2 linked regions of the Arabidopsis thaliana genome follow. The protein of the gene in region 2 purifies or fractionates together with the protein of the main gene of each other region. This does not show direct contact. Each region holds a gene or a part of one and is shown on either strand. Other genes may lie near its edges.

Region 1 (7,020 bases), 7.3 Mb from region 2:
CCAAAGGCTTGAGAAATAGAAACAATCTGCTAACCTGTATAATAGAAGGGTAAAGACTATTGAAATCCAGAAGCAAGACATATTTGTCATATAAGCCTCTCTTTGGCTCCAAGACCAGTCCACCAGCGTAGGCTGGACCTTTTTTTGTTTTGCTGCCCTTAGACGGATCATTCTCCAAAGTCAGGTCAGCATCCAATTCATCTACATTGCGGTCTTCTGGAGCATAATCCATTCTTCTTTTTGATGACTTTATTTCCTTCATACGTTGTGAAATTTTGTCAGGGAGAATGAACTTTTTCGAGTGGAATGTATGTAGTAAGTAGTATTCGATTCTCTGTGCCCTGGCTCCCTGGTCATGAACAAAAAATGCATGAGTCAGCACAGTAACACATATTTTCCCGGATGGGAGGGAGAGGGAGAGTCATTACTTGAAGTGTTTTCCCCCAAAGATTGCCACTTATGTTAGTAAGCTGGAGAGTGAGAGGAAGAACACTTAGATGAAACATGAGCTCCATGGATAACCATGCATCCGTCTCACCACATTCAATCTGAAAGAAAAGAAAATCAAAGGGTTATAACAAGCGAGCAATTAAGATGCAGTCATCACTCATCAACCTTAAGTGACTGCTGTTATCTGCAATCCCTTTACTTCTATGTATGACTGGATTATTTATTCTTCAATAGTTTGCACTAAATTGTTTCGCATGCAAGGATTCATAACCTATCGTCCCTAATGTGGTAGTACCAACTCATACATAAAACAGACATGACCGGGCTCATCGAAGAACTTACAAGTTCCACAAGTGTTTTGGATGACTGAAACATTTTGGGAATATCATTAGGCGCTATCTCTTTCCTGTCCCGGTTCAGCTGTGTCTTTGAGAGGTCCGTTAAAGAATAACTGACCTGCAAGAAACAGATGCTTATACATGAGGGACTGAGCTTCAACTTACTGCTTACAAGACCTGCAAGGGTATCATACCTCCTTCAACAAGTCACGAGAACACAGATCTGTATCACACAAGAGCCTTCCAGCAATACAAGACATGAGCCCTGGTGTAGCTCCTGACCCATAATTACTGTTTCCTTTAAGCTTAGGCATAAAAGAGCGTTTGAGTCGGCCAATTTTGGACCACATGCTACTCTGAACTTTGCAAGCCTGCACAATAGTAATCATTCAGTTTAAAGAACAAGACAGACATGTATATATCTCTATTACATGATCATCACAACAGGAGAGACTGGAAAAGGGACTAATGATGTACAATGCATGAAATAAAAACTTGCTGGCTTATTACGTTAAATATCATCTAATAGGCCTGGAAAGACAAGATCTTACAAAACTAATATGAAGCATATCATAGAAAGATAAGAAAATAAAATAAAATGAAAGACACAACCATTTTTCTTAATGGTAAAAAGAGATTTTGCTTTACCTGGGCCCTTTGAAGAAGAACATCCAGATCAAAACCTGAAATATTATGTCCCACAAGAATATCACTGTCCAATTTGTTTAACTCCAAAAACAATCGGTTCAGCAATGCTCTTTCACTGCAGTAAGAAAAGGAACAAAATATTGGACGAAGCCAACATGAATTGCCAAAGATATATGTGAAGGATCACAAACACAGCCTATTCAGTAACAGAGCTGCAACACACCTGTTTTCAATACTTAATACATTGCAGCCGTTCTTTGAATTTCTGTCAGACACTTCTTTTTTCCAACCAATTGGGTAACCGGTTCCTTCAGGATTCCTAACAACAGTGAAATGACTCAGAATACCAGATCTCTTTCTTTCTGGAGCTGGCATTGGAACATCAATCTGAAAGATCAAGGAGCACGCACATCATATGTCAAGCTACTAATGTAGACAGAAAGAGTGTCTTTTGAGCAAGAAACAATCGTCCAAAATGAGCGTTAATATAAAACCACATGGTACGAAAACCTACTGGTGATTGGTAATGCCATGATCATACATCCGTATTCTTCACAAAGACAACAACAACAACAACAAAAAAGGCTAAGAAGCATTGGTTAAATGTTGTAGAACAAACCTTGGCGTTGTGAAAGCAGAGAACAGATGCAGAAACAATTTCGCTTATGTTCTGCTTTTCATTGACTATAGTCTTTAAATTTATGGCTGTAACAACAGCAGGAGGGTGAACCACCTTTTCCTCTGAAACTAAAATAGTGATATCCTTGGGAGATTGAACAGTAACCTCAAACTTGCACCAACTCACCTGCACAAGTGGCAAGTCCTCTCATTAGCGGAGATAAACAGAACTAGAAAAATCACTGATTATATGATTATGGCACAGATTTAAGGTCTTACTCCTTCCGAAGGAGAGCAAGTAGAGAAGCTTGAAATTTTGAGCCAACAAGGTCCCATGATCTTCCTCTTAAGGATAAAATGCTCCAAAGCACTGCATATGAATTAACTTTGATAAGGATGAAAAAATTGCACCGTGCTAAATTGACATAGCCAGCATACATAGTTAACTAAGAAGCTTACAGAAGACCAGAAAATACAAACTTAACAAACCAACTACCAAACACATGGAAAGGTAATGAAACTCAGCAGTAAGAAGCTAGAACCTGGTATGAGACCCGAGCAAAGCGGAGAAAGACTCGCCTTTAAGATCTTCTGGAAGTGGACGATCCTGTTATAAAAGAGGAAACTTGTCATATTGTTGAGATGTAAGAAAACAGACGATTTTTAGTTTTATTTTGAACAGCTGAAATGTACCTTAAATGAATAATTTATCTTCAAAACATATTGTTCGCCAGCAGGCACATCAGGCCTCTCAAAAGCATAGTTTCTCTGATATTCGTACATAAAGAGCAGAATAGAGAGTCAAAAGAAAAGTATTGCTGCTAGAATACATGAAAAAGAAGTCAAATATCCAAACCTTGACAGGCGCCATGCTAAAATTTGAAACATTGAGCTGTAACAATTCCTGAGCAATTTCGTTTTTCAGTTTTGATGCCATTTCCTGAGAAGACACAGCCAAAAACAATGAACAACAGAGGAAAATAGATTGCTTCCTCTTAGCATGTAACAAAGGTAGTCAAACTCACATGCAATTTCCCACGGAAGGATTCAGGAGAAAGTCGAGAGTCTTTCACCTCTTGCTCGAGCATGATTAGTTCATGGGAAGGAAATATGGAATCATTTGGAATAGCATAAACACACCTCTGGATATTCTTAACTACCACACAGCAACTCTTGTAAGTATCTCCCATTTTAACCTGAATTGTTAAAAAAAGAGAGACCGAATTCATTCTCTAGATTAAGGCCAAAAGAACAACTTTAAAAATGAATGAAAAATCTAGAGATTCACCTTCCCAAACAGATATATTGTGCCCATGCTCGCACCAAAAGCCTCCTCATAAGCGTCAAGAATGAAGAAACGAAGTGATCCGTCAGCATCCAAATCAAATTCCGTTTTCCCTTCAGAACTAGAACCAAGCAAAGCCCCATTCTCAGTTCCAACTTTTCCCATCGCTTCCTTCCAACCAGCAGTGGCACTTAAAGCCGAATCCTTCTCTTTCATATCAATCGTTGCATTCAATGTAAATACCTCCTTGACACCTAACTCACTCTTCACTTCAGTTTTCCTTATCTTGTTTGATCCATCCTCTTTGACAATATCACTTCCAAGTAATTCCATAGTCTCAGAAGGAATGACTTCAGATTCTTTCATATCTTCCTCTTTCATCAATTCATTATCCATGGAAACAGAATCACCCTCATAAGTTGAAGGTGTTGGTTCAGACTCTTTCATTCCCATACTCGAGGCAACAGAAAACAGTTTTTTATTCTTGAAGATGGTAACTGGAACAGTACCTGGTAGTTTTCTCCTCGTATGCTTTTTTCTATCCGACTCATCTGGAGTAACCTGAGCTATTATCTCGTCAAGAATACCCTCATACTGTGCCTTATCAGTCTCCTTAACTTTCTTGAAACTCGAAGATGTGAACATAGACGAAAGTCTACCTTCACCAGTGATAGTAGCCGCAGCTTTTAACGCCGGATTCACCTTCTTAACCTGAGGTTGCTGCGTTTGCTCTTTCCCTTTCTTCTTCTTCTTAAGTCTCCCACTAAACCTACCACCGTCGTCTGATTCATCAGTCGATTCTGGTCCACTTGGCTTCGACCAATCCTCCTCCTCACCTTCGTCGAGATATCCCAAATCGCCACCTTCCCCATCTTCAACTACAAACCCGCGAGCCTCCTCGCGCCGCCGGGAAACAAGTGCGTCGTACTCTTCGTCATCAACGGTATCGAAGATTGGCTTCTGCAGCCTAATATCGTACCCACCACCTGACGCAGAACGGATTCCTCCTTGTCGAATCGCCTTCAGACGCTCGAGTGTGTCTTTCCTACTCGACGCCTCCGCGCCTCGGCTACGTCTTCGTCCAGTTTCCGTTGAATTATCGCCGGACATTTTTACAAATCCGGTCAATTTGGTGGTTTGGTGAAGCTGAGTAACTGATTTAGGTTTAAGAACCCAGATTAAGAAATGGAGATGGCGGGAAAATCGACACGATTTTGGCGCTATCCATTTGCCAAATCCGAATCCAACAAACAAACGGGTTCTCTTAATGGGCCTTACTCCTCTTTAATAAAGCCCAAAAACAAAAACAAAAAAGAAGCAATTATGAGACATCTATTTGAACGAGATCAAGCATCAGAGAGTTGTAGGAGCTACCTCGGTCTGTGAAGTAATTGCTGATGGAGTCCACCAAGTGTAGAATCTAGCTAAATACAGTAAAAGAATCAAAGTTTCAGCCTGAGTTCTAAGTTACTGATATTTACCGATTCGAAAGTCTAAACTATTGCTGAAACTACTAATAAGTTCATATCCAAAATCATTGTTCTCTATGATAAAGCCCAATTGAAAGAGAAAAGAAAAAAAAACAATGATGAGAGATGATGTGTTGCCGACCACCTAAAACCACTTTAACAAAAGCAAAAGCCAAGTAAAGGTTACATTCTCTGCAACTTTTTTGTCATAATAAAAACTAAACATCTATTAACAACAACACTATAATTGTTTCTTACTAACACCAAAATTCATTTCACTTTGAAGAGACCAGAGAAAAAAACTTGCTCAGACATGGGGATGACCGTCGTAATTATTCTGGTGTTCTCATTTTTCGTAGCGATTGTAACGGCGGAGACCTCTCCTTACATCATCCACATGGACTTATCCGCTAAACCGTTGCCATTTTCCGATCATCGGAGCTGGTTTTCCACAACTCTTACTTCAGTTATAACCAATAGAAAACCAAAGATTATCTACGCTTATACCGATTCGGTTCACGGGTTTAGCGCGGTTCTCACCAACTCTGAGCTCCAACGTCTTAAACACAAACCCGGGTATGTCTCGTTCACCAAAGATTTACCGGTTAAGCTTCATACCACTTTCTCTCCAAAGTTTATCGGTTTAAATTCGACATCCGGTACATGGCCGGTCTCGAATTATGGAGCTGGTATAGTAATCGGTATTATAGATACCGGAATTTGGCCCGATAGTCCCAGCTTTCACGACGATGGGGTTGGTTCGGTTCCGTCTAAATGGAAAGGAGCATGTGAATTCAATTCTTCTTCCTTGTGCAACAAGAAACTAATCGGTGCTAAGGTATTCAACAAGGGTTTGTTCGCCAACAACCCTGATTTGAGAGAAACCAAGATTGGCCAATACTCTTCACCGTACGATACAATCGGACACGGCACTCATGTTGCAGCCATTGCAGCTGGGAATCATGTTAAGAACGCGTCTTACTTCTCTTACGCCCAAGGAACCGCCTCAGGAATCGCACCACACGCGCATCTAGCAATCTACAAAGCCGCGTGGGAAGAAGGGATTTACTCATCAGATGTAATCGCAGCGATTGATCAAGCGATTCGAGATGGAGTCCATGTGATATCTCTGTCGCTAGGATTGAGTTTTGAGGATGATGACGACAATGATGGTTTCGGTCTAGAAAATGATCCAATCGCAGTCGCATCTTTTGCAGCGATTCAAAAAGGCGTTTTCGTGGTTACTTCCGGCGGTAACGACGGGCCATATTACTGGAGTTTGATTAACGGAGCGCCGTGGATTATGACGGTTGGAGCGGGAACAATTGGTAGGCAATTTCAAGGAACCCTAACGTTTGGAAACAGAGTTAGTTTCAGTTTTCCATCTCTGTTTCCTGGAGAGTTCCCTTCGGTTCAGTTTCCAGTAACTTACATCGAATCTGGCAGCGTTGAAAACAAGACTCTCGCAAACAGAATTGTTGTCTGTAACGAAAACATAAACATCGGTAGCAAACTTCATCAAATCAGATCCACCGGAGCTGCAGCAGTAGTTTTAATAACAGATAAGTTACTTGAGGAGCAAGACACAATAAAATTCCAGTTTCCAGTAGCATTCATCGGCTCAAAACACCGAGAAACTATTGAAAGCTACGCATCAAGCAACAAAAACAACGCGACCGCAAAGCTGGAGTTTCGTAAAACGGTAATCGGGACAAAACCAGCGCCAGAAGTTGGCACATACAGCTCAAGGGGTCCATTCACAAGCTTCCCTCAAATCCTGAAACCAGACATTCTAGCTCCTGGGACACTTATACTCTCTGCTTGGCCGTCGGTTGAGCAAATCACCGGAACTCGAGCACTACCGTTATTCAGCGGATTCAATCTCTTAACCGGGACATCAATGGCTGCACCTCATGTAGCTGGAGTCGCTGCGCTTATAAAGCAAGTCCATCCAAATTGGAGTCCATCGGCTATAAAATCTGCAATTATGACAACGGCTTTGACTTTAGACAACCCATTAGCCGTTGGAGCAGGGCATGTGAGTACGAACAAAGTCTTAAACCCTGGCCTAATCTATGATACAACTCCACAAGATTTCATAAACTTCCTTTGTCACGAGGCAAAACAATCAAGAAAATTGATCAATATCATCACGAGATCGAATATCTCCGACGCTTGTAAAAAGCCATCTCCATATCTCAATTACCCTTCA
Region 2 (10,043 bases):
TCCCGGCTTTCGGGTATATAAAGTTTTCGGGTTGGGCAGTGTGAAGAAGAGATACAATCTGATCTTGCAGCTTTAACACAGTGTCATGCTTCAAATTGTGTGCAAGACACGCAAAATAAAACCCAACTGGAACAAACCTATATGCCTTGTCTCTTGTAAGAAGCAGATCTAGAGCTCTTTGCAGAATATCAGTATTAGTTTGACCTTCAGGTATTACAGATTTACTGGCGTAAAGGGCGACCAATGGACTTACATATCTTTCTTTCATACCTTGTCTTCTAAGCGACCCAATAATCTTTTTGAAGAATTCGAATGGAAGATCCGTGAGGTCTTTGATCCAAGTATCTTGGTTTATTATTCTCTCTATGTTTGTATATTCCCATGGTTGATTCACCATACCTTCAAGCATGATGACTGGCTTTTCTCTTCGTCTTTCGGGATCGAGAATCTCCATACAAGCCGTGAAAGCCAGAGACTCAATGCACCGGCTCACGATGAGTAGATCTTCAGACCAAGGCACTAGATCCTGACATTTCTTCAGAACAACTAACGTGTCATCCCAGTTTTGCAAGACAACTTGGTTTAGATAAAGGTCAAATCTCTCGCAGAGGTTACCCGTCGAATGTTGCTCTGTCATTTCAAGAAATTGAGCTGCACATCGTAGTCCAGCGATGTTGAAAGGATGTATTAAAGTTGGACAGCCATAAATGAAAAGCATAATCTTCTCAAAGGTCTCTGCTCCACCAGGAAACTCTTGTGGTATCTCGATCTCCGATAGCTGATCCTCTCTTTCCTTAAAATATCCGCTCTTTGCACACAAGAGACTCTACAAAAGATAAACAAAAAAAGTAAGGCATTATATTAACAAAAACCACTAAGCTACATGTATTGGTTGAAAACAGAATTTCTTGAGAGAGAGATTTGATTATCATTATTACCTTGTGAAGGTTAAAACTCTTGTTGCAAACTCGAACATGTACTGACGCGGGTAGACCGGTCTCTTTACTCCTGTGACACACACACACACAGTTACATTACATAAGTCTACAACATGAATAATTCAGATTTGTTATATGACATCACGAAGATAGTCTTGAGATTCATACCAAGAAAGAACTTTGATTTTCAAAAGGGTACTGATATTTGGAGAAGAAATCGGGCTGGAGGCGACGGACGAACAATCCTTGAGGCTGAAAGTTTCCATTATTGAGTATATAAATTGTGAAAACTAAGTAGATAAAGTATATCAAAACCAATATGGTATGATGAAACTGGAGACATTTGGTCGTTCATTTATTCTTCTTCACTATTATATTTTTGAAGAAGAAAGTTGCGTGTTTTGGGGATTGAAGAGGAAGAAAAAGGGTTCTAGGATCCACGAAACAAGAGGACGCTAAGGAAGATTTGAGAAAAAGAAAGTTTCTTTTGGTTTTCGTTTTTATCAAACATTAAACTATAATATGGCTACTTGCATGCAGGCACACACACATATATGCGTAGTAGATGTTGGGTCAAAGTCAGATGCGCACGAGTGTTGAGCTCAAAAAGAAGATCTCAAAATTCAAGGCAAGAAGTTGAAGACGACGTTCCTCGAGTGTTGAGAAGAGTTGAAAAATCTTGTATTATAACATTTTTTCTTCGCTTTTTTCAACAACATTTTTGTTTTTTACTCCAACACTTTCTTTCTTTTTCATGCATTAACTGTAACAAGACTCTAAATAGTTCTAACCAGACATTTTGGTGACGCTTATTTATGATGTTACGATCTGGTCTTCGAGTTATGTAATATACGTTAATTAATAGTGATTTGAGTATTTCTACGAATATAAATATATATTTTTGCAACCATCGTACATTACGAGAAAATCAAGAGAGGAAATCGAAGTACTGTATTGCTTACTTAGGAAGAATTCGCTCATAGAAAACAGGGAAAAGGAGGCTAAAGTAGGAAATTATTAGAGAATTACTTATATTGACACACATGTAACATAGATTTAAATGGATTTACTAGACTAACATAGATTTGTCGACAAAAAAAAAAAAGGCTAACATAGATTTTTTGGTAAAAATGACAGCAATATTTTTAGTATTCTATGCTATCTTTAAGTTATTTAAAGTGTACTCTATTAAACCACATAGATAAAGAAATGCCAACAAAAACAATATGAAACATTACAAATTCTAGAAAACGCCCTAAACGGTTAGCTTTAAATTTGAACTCTAAAGGACATAAAGAATCAATACGTAAATAAATAAAACACGTAAACGACTAAATTCGGTTAATTCCCTTAAAAAAAATTGATCACTCTTTATTCTTTTTTTTTTTGACAAAAAAAAAATCACTCTTAATTCTTAAAACTTGGTTTATGCTATTCATCAGCACAAAGTTCCTGCAATTCATACCAAAACCAGCGAAGTACTATTTCTAATTTCTTGGGATCAGGCCCAACAACATGGAAATTGCCTAACAGCCCAAATAATCAGAAGCCCAAAAGTAAAAACAAAAACAAAGCGAGCCTATATTTACACTCAGCGACCAATGTACATCCGCCACGTTATATCGATAATTTTTCATCTAAATTACAAAAATACCACTTCGTTTTCCTCCTCCTTCACTTCCTTTGGCGGCTCTTTTTTTGTCCTCTCTTCCTCTTTTCGTCGGAGCTCGCGAAGCTCTCTCTCCTCAGAAATCAAAAACCCTAAAAACCCTTTTTGTAGCGATGATGGTAGAACCGAATCAGCTCGTTCAACATCTCGAAACTTTTGTTGACACTAATCGTTCCTCTTCTCAACAGGTACCTTTTGATCAATTTTGAGACTTAGAACAACAGTTTCATTGATTCACCAAGTTTAATTTTGTTTTCAGGATGATAGTCTTAAAGCAATTGCTTCTTCTTTGGAGAATGATTCTTTATCTATTACCCAATTGGTAACAATTTCCACTCACTTGACAACTTCTGAATATTCTTCCGTAGGCTTTATTTGTGTTGTTGGCTTATTTCTGTATTGCTAATGTTTAGGTTAGAGAGATGGAGATGTATTTGACAACAACCGATAACCTCGTTCGAGCACGAGGTATTTCGATTCACTAGCTTAGTTTAATGAGCTTATCAATTTGAACGCAATTGGACATTGGTGTGTTCATAACTATAGGTATTCTCCTGCTTGCGGAGATTCTCGATTGTTTGAAAGCAAAGCCGTTGAACGATACAATAGTTCATACGCTCGTTGGATTCTTTTCCGAAAAGCTGGTAATTTGATACTTCTTAAGTTTGATTATACTCGATTCCAATGTGTCTATTCAATTGTTTTAACATAGAAGTGAAACGATTGTTGTACTTGAATCAGGCAGATTGGAGAGCGATGTGCGGGGCGCTTGTTGGTTGTTTGGCTCTACTGAAGAGGAAAGATGTAGCTGGTGTGGTTACTGATATCGATGTACAAGCTATGGCGAAGTCAATGATACAGAATGTGCAAGTGCAAGCTTTAGCACTGCATGAGCGCAAAGTATGAAGCGGTTATTTGTAGTATTCTGTTATCTAATCTGAATGATTGTGTTCTACGCTGGATGGTTTTTTCATTATCTTCTGCTAAATGACTTTGCAGCTCGCTTTTGAACTTCTGGAGTGCCTTTTACAACAACATTCTGAAGCTATTTTGACTATGGTATGCTAATGCTCTCTACTTAGTTCAGAATTAAACATTCGATCTACTGTGTGAGGAATGTTTTCTTGGAAATCTATTTGAGTCAGCTTTGTAGGAAGACAAATAATTATTTATATGTATCCAAATTTGTAATACTACTCGGGACCTTTCCTCACTTTCTTGTAATCCTATTGACTAAACGGCCATTTCCTAGGGTGATCTACTTGTTTATGCTATGTGTGAAGCCATCGACGGAGAAAAAGATCCTCAATGCTTAATGATAGTTTTTCATCTAGTAGAGCTTTTGGCTCCTTTGTTCCCCAGTCCTTCTGGTCCACTCGCTTCTGATGCATCTGATCTTTTTGAAGTTATTGGTTGCTACTTCCCACTTCATTTTACGCATGTGAGTTTAAAGCCTATCCTTTTTATGATGTGCTATATAGATGGGTTTCTCTTTCTTTCACTAAACTGTTTAGTGTGCTCTTTTTTTGGGTTAATTAGACAAAAGATGACGAAGCTAATATTAGAAGAGAGGATCTCTCAAGGGGACTACTGGTGAGTATTGTGTCATAATTCATGATTTGCATAAAGTTCTTGCTGGCTTATTGTGGCTCAATGGCTTAGTTTCTCAAGGTTAAATATCAGTTGATCATTCTGGTTTGGAGTTCCTTAAAAATAAAATGTTTTAGACCCTTAGAAAATGGTATGAAGATTAGACTGAAAAGCTATTTCGCATATCATGTCCATTCTTTGAAAGCTGTTAGGCAAAGTACAGTGACTTGTCCTGTCTCTGGTAATTTATATGCTTCTCTGCTTCTGAGGGCACAGATGCCTTGAAGATGGAAATACTAATTTTTGTTTTCTACATCTAAGTATGGCTTGCAGTTTCAAGCATGGCTGAAATGGTATTAGGTTAAAAATGGGAGAATTATGATAAATCCTGTTTATATATATATAAATGTATAACATTAGGTTAAATTTATTCACTGATGTACTTTATTCAATTTGCAGCTGGCGATCTCTTCGACACCTTTCTTTGAACCGTATGCTATTCCGTTGCTTCTTGAAAAGCTTTCTTCTTCTCTACCAGTCGCAAAGGTGCGTTTAACATGTAGTTTTCTGTTAATACATCTAGATTATATGCCACTCCGGATGTTGGACAAGTGTAGTTATTTTTGTTCCACTCAAACCTGTATAGGTTGATTCTTTGAAATGTCTGAAAGATTGCGCTTTGAAATATGGAGTAGACAGAATGAAGAAGCACTATGGAGCTCTTTGGTCTGCTTTGAAAGATACATTTTATTCCTCTACTGGGACACATTTGTCATTTGCTATAGAATCCCTCACTAGTCCAGGGTTTGAAATGAATGAGATCCACAGAGATGCTGTTAGTCTTCTTCAGAGGCTTGTTAAGCAAGATATCTCGTTTTTAGGTTTTGTAGTTGATGATACACGCATAAACACAGTCTTTGATACCATCTATAGATACCCTCAGTATAAAGAAATGCCTGACCCAAGCAAACTGGAGGTTCTTGTTATCAGTCAGATACTGTCTGTTTCTGCCAAAGCTTCGGTTCAGTCATGCAATATAATCTTTGAAGCCATATTTTTCCGCCTTATGAATACTCTAGGGATTGTAGAGAAAACTTCTACTGGCGATGTTGTTCAAAACGGAAACTCTACAGTCTCTACCAGACTCTACCATGGAGGTCTTCATCTATGCATTGAACTTCTTGCAGCATCAAAAGATCTTATTCTGGGTTTCGAGGAATGTTCTCCAACATCTGGATGTGCAAACTCAGGGTGCTCTATGGTGAAAAGCTTCTCAGTTCCATTGATCCAGGTGTTCACTTCTGCAGTATGCCGCTCGAATGATGATTCTGTTGTGGATGTATATCTTGGAGGTGAATGCTTGTGGTTACTTAATAGATATATCACCATCTTGTGGTTCTTGCCGTCTTTTCTTAATACTGAACTCGGTCTACAATTTTTTCTAGGTTACCATGTTCTTATTCCTATTATCTAAATGATTTATTTTGTTAATGAATACAGTTAAGGGTTTGCTGACTATGGGTATGTTTCGGGGCGGCTCTTCTCCTGTATCGAGAACCGAATTCGAGAATATTTTGGTGACATTAACATCAATCATTACAGCCAAGAGTGGCAAAACAGTGGTGTGGGAATTGGCATTGAAGGCACTGGTCTGTATCGGCTCATTTATTGATCGGTATCATGAGAGTGACAAGGCTATGAGCTACATGAGTATAGTTGTCGACAATTTGGTCTCATTGGCCTGTTCTAGTCATTGTGGTCTTCCATATCAGATGATATTAGAAGCAACTTCAGAAGTTTGCTCCACTGGACCAAAGTATGTGGAGAAAATGGTTCAAGGATTGGAAGAAGCTTTTTGTTCCAGTTTGTCTGATTTCTATGTATGTGTTACCCCCGTGACTAGACCATAAAGTTTTCACTTATATTTGATCTAACAGTTTCTATCTCCAACAAGCAACAGATCGAGAGCTTCCTTGTATCTAACTTCTATTTGGAAACCACTTGTCAGGTCAATGGAAACTTCGAGTCAATTGACAATTGCTCTCAGCTCCTGAAGTGTTTGACCAACAAATTGCTTCCACGGTACCCAAACTTTTCTTGAATTTATTTTATCTCATAGATAAACTAGCTTTGCCAGCGTGAGTATCTAGACTTTTAGTTGTTCGTAAACAGCCAACTATTCTGGATGATACAACTTGTTAACTGCCATACTTTGGTAGCGTATTTAGGTTCTCTCTGTTCAGGTTCATTGTGTTATTCCCCTTAGTCAACCCCTTGTAACTCGGTAGAATCCGTCAAGATTTTATAATAGACATAGAAAACAACTATAGATGGCACATTCACCTAACAGAGAGTTATAATAAGCACATGGAAACCAACAAGCAATGCAATAGCACGAGTGTCTTTTCTATTATTCCTTTACAAAATAGAGACCTCTTTGTGTCTTTTTCCTTCATTTACAAATTTTATCGTTCCAAAGATGAAAACTTAAAAACATTTGTGGTGCATCCATGTGTATGGCTCCACTGTTTTTTATCTGATTGGAGATTCTTTTTCTCTATGCCTTCTCTCTGCCAAGAACAATATTCTTCGTTCCTCTTTTGCATGTCCTTTTGACTCGTGGAATTTTGTTCTGATCTCAATTAGTGTGGCTGAGATAGATGGTCTCGAGCAACTCTTGGTGCATTTCGCTATCAGTATGTGGAAACAAATTGAATTTTGTGGAGTTTTCAGTTGTGATTTTAATGGTAGGGTAAGTGCTCAGATGAACTTTAGACTCTTTGTTTCTCTTCGAACTCGATTTGGTTTATTTATTTTTGATGTCATGAATTTATTTGCTCTTCTATAACAGGAGTTTGTTGAGGCAGCGATGACAACGATGAGGCAAGTTGTAGGAATTGCTTTGGTAGATTCACAGAACAGTATAATCCAAAAAGCTTATAGTGTGGTATCATCTTGTACGCTTCCAGCTATGGAGTCTATTCCTTTGACCTTTGTTGCATTAGAGGGTCTACAGCGTGACTTGTCCTCTAGGGATGAATTGATACTTTCACTATTTGCATCAGTTATCATAGCTGCGTCCCCCTCAGCATCCATTCCAGATGCGAAATCACTTATACATCTGCTTTTGGTAACACTTCTTAAGGGTTATATCCCAGCAGCTCAAGCTTTGGGTTCAATGGTTAACAAATTGGGCTCGGGTTCTGGTGGAACAAATACCTCAAGGGATTGTTCCTTGGAAGAAGCATGTGCTATAATATTTCACGCAGATTTTGCATCGGGAAAAAAGATTTCTTCTAATGGATCTGCTAAAATTATAGTTGGAAGTGAGACAACCATGTCAAAGATATGTTTAGGTTACTGTGGTTCTCTGGACCTTCAAACCCGTGCAATCACAGGACTAGCATGGATTGGGAAAGGTTTACTCATGCGGGGCAATGAAAGAGTTAATGAAATAGCTCTGGTGCTAGTAGAGTGTTTAAAATCCAATAACTGTTCTGGGCATGCGCTGCATCCTTCTGCCATGAAACATGCAGCAGATGCATTCTCTATAATAATGTCTGATTCGGAAGTGTGTCTGAACAGAAAATTCCATGCAGTTATACGACCACTCTATAAACAGCGGTGTTTCTCTACGATAGTTCCCATTTTGGAGTCTTTGATTATGAATTCCCAGACTTCACTATCGAGGTAAATATATCTTTAAGTATATTTATTGTTACTCTTTTATAGTTCTACTCTTTCATAGAAAAATGTTTGGTCATTAGCATCTTTGGTGCTCTTGTGTGTACTCTGTCTTCATCATTAAGTCCTTCTATGTCATTTCCCTAGAATGCAATTGCACCCACAAGAACCGTTTTAGTGTTCCTTTCTGGAAGAATAAGAAGACCTCTTGAAGATTGTTAGTTTAATTTTGGTTAGATGTAGCTACCACATAAACTCATACTAGTTTAGGCTTCGTTGTTGCTCCAAGTTTCAAGTACATATCATAAATAGGCAAGTTACAGTTTATTGTGACAAACAACAAATTTGATTCTCAGCTGACTGGTTTCTTCATTTTTTTTCAGAACAATGTTGCATGTAGCTCTCGCTCATGTTATATCCAATGTTCCGGTAACAGTCATATTGGACAATACCAAAAAGGTGAGCCTTAATTTAGACTTTGTCTTTTGTACCTTTTTAAACAGTTTCTTATTAGACATTGGTCTGTGCAGCTACAACCGTTGATACTGGAAGGCTTGTCTGTCTTAAGCTTGGACTCTGTGGAGAAAGAAACTCTTTTCAGTCTATTACTGGTTTTATCTGGAACGCTTACTGATACTAAGGGTAAGAAAAGTTAGATGCTGGGATACAAAAGCTTATTGCATTATATAAAATCTTGCTTCATTTGTTGAAGATCAAACAATTCTTATATGATTCAAATTCGTTTGCGCCCACTGATAATAGGGATTGTGTATATGGTTGAGTTAATGCAATAGTTGATAAGCCTCAAAAAGACATTTTATATTCAATTTTGCCGAGAATTAACCATTTGATCTGTTTGCAGGACAACAATCTGCCAGTGATAATGCACATATAATCATCGAATGCCTGATCAAGCTTACATCATATCCGCATCTAATGGTGACAAATCATTTTCTTTTCTATAGCATCTTCGTTTTTTCCAACGGAATTGATTCTTGAATCTTCTAATGATAATATGTCCACGTTAAATGGTATGCAGGTTGTTAGAGAAACATCAATTCAGTGTCTTGTTGCGTTGTTGGAATTGCCGCATAGAAGGATTTATCCTTTCAGAAGAGAGGTTAGTTAAAAGATCTAACCCACATGTTTTTAGTGTAGAGTAAGAAATGTGTCTAATGACTTTGGAATTTATTTCAAGGTTTTACAAGCAATAGAAAAGTCACTCGATGATCCGAAACGGAAAGTTCGAGAAGAAGCTATTAGGTGCAGACAGGCTTGGTTAGTAACGTAAAACTCATCAGTTATCTTTTTCGTAATTGCGGCTTTTAATCACTATCTTGTGAAATAATTCTGATCATTGTCAAAATCAGGGCGTCAATCACATCCGGAAGTAACATATTCTGAAGTTGAATTGAGAGATTAACGAAGCCAAGTTATCTTCTTCAAAGTAATATTCTTTTTTACATTTGTGACATTTGTTAGAGAGCCAGCGAATCAGTGTCTTGTGACACATTTAACGCATACCAACCAATACCATCTAACATTTGTGATACAGTGAGTGACACTTACACTTTAGTTGAGTAGTCTTTAGAAGAGTTTATTGGTCAGCGAATTTTAAATAATTTCGAAATTCAAACAAAATTATAGGTGTTATTAGATCATTGATTTTAAAATTCTTGTCAAAAACTTTGTAATATTTGTTCATTGATTTCTCAAGACCAGTTGAATTCCAGTTTTTTTTGTCAATGATTCTCATTATATTCTCATCATATAAAAAGTTTGACAATTTTGAATGTAGTTTTAAGGTAAATTATACAAAAAAGATTTGGACGTCTTAGCATGCAAGCGTACTTTTACCAAACAAAAAGAAGAGTTTCCAAACGTTTCGCTTCTGGTTCCATGTAAGTATGTAACCTAAGGGGACAATTCAAGTATTTTTTTCTATTTATTGTCGTTTTGTAAACAGAGTTTTAATGACCAATTGGGCTTTGTGTCCTTTATATTGTCAGGGCCGGCTTTGCAGAGACATAAACTAGAATTGCTCCAGAACAACATCTTCTTCTACACCACCACAAGCTGCCTCTTGTCTTTTGTTATAAGTATAAGATTTCTGTTGTTGTATTATTCGGAAATTCCCAATTGGTTATGCCAACTTGAATTTG

The links.
Region 1: the proteins of MET18 (region 2) and ICU2 purify together in Arabidopsis thaliana (affinity purification with western blotting, with the first as the bait; one study listed by BioGRID). This does not show direct contact.

The regions. Positions count from the first base shown.
Region 1 is NC_003076.8:26,774,423-26,781,442, reverse strand, and holds the start of ICU2 (DNA-directed DNA polymerase), read right to left. Parts: upstream 4,491-7,020; 5' UTR 4,450-4,490; coding exon 3,343-4,449; intron 3,251-3,342; coding exon 3,080-3,250; intron 2,995-3,079; coding exon 2,911-2,994; intron 2,823-2,910; coding exon 2,748-2,822; intron 2,662-2,747; coding exon 2,597-2,661; intron 2,425-2,596; coding exon 2,334-2,424; intron 2,242-2,333; coding exon 2,056-2,241; intron 1,824-2,055; coding exon 1,660-1,823; intron 1,552-1,659; coding exon 1,437-1,551; intron 1,160-1,436; coding exon 983-1,159; intron 907-982; coding exon 793-906; intron 549-792; coding exon 429-548; intron 350-428; coding exon 35-349; intron 1-34. Other genes in the region: AT5G67090 (Subtilisin-like serine endopeptidase family protein), read left to right, coding at 5,122-7,020. UniProt on the Arabidopsis thaliana protein: Polymerase alpha in a complex with DNA primase is a replicative polymerase.
Region 2 is NC_003076.8:19,507,452-19,517,494, reverse strand, and holds the start of MET18 (ARM repeat superfamily protein), read left to right. Parts: upstream 1-2,599; 5' UTR 2,600-2,720; coding exon 2,721-2,795; intron 2,796-2,866; coding exon 2,867-2,929; intron 2,930-3,020; coding exon 3,021-3,075; intron 3,076-3,153; coding exon 3,154-3,251; intron 3,252-3,348; coding exon 3,349-3,507; intron 3,508-3,606; coding exon 3,607-3,666; intron 3,667-3,859; coding exon 3,860-4,048; intron 4,049-4,146; coding exon 4,147-4,200; intron 4,201-4,656; coding exon 4,657-4,743; intron 4,744-4,843; coding exon 4,844-5,549; intron 5,550-5,697; coding exon 5,698-6,077; intron 6,078-6,205; coding exon 6,206-6,279; intron 6,280-6,843; coding exon 6,844-6,949; intron 6,950-7,048; coding exon 7,049-7,887; intron 7,888-8,264; coding exon 8,265-8,340; intron 8,341-8,411; coding exon 8,412-8,523; intron 8,524-8,743; coding exon 8,744-8,820; intron 8,821-8,920; coding exon 8,921-9,001; intron 9,002-9,079; coding exon 9,080-9,159; intron 9,160-9,251; and 7 more. Other genes in the region: AT5G48130 (Phototropic-responsive NPH3 family protein), read right to left, coding at 1-826, 939-1,008, 1,107-1,204. UniProt on the Arabidopsis thaliana protein: May select specific target apoproteins to which a Fe-S cluster produced by the cytosolic iron-sulfur (Fe-S) protein assembly (CIA) pathway is transferred.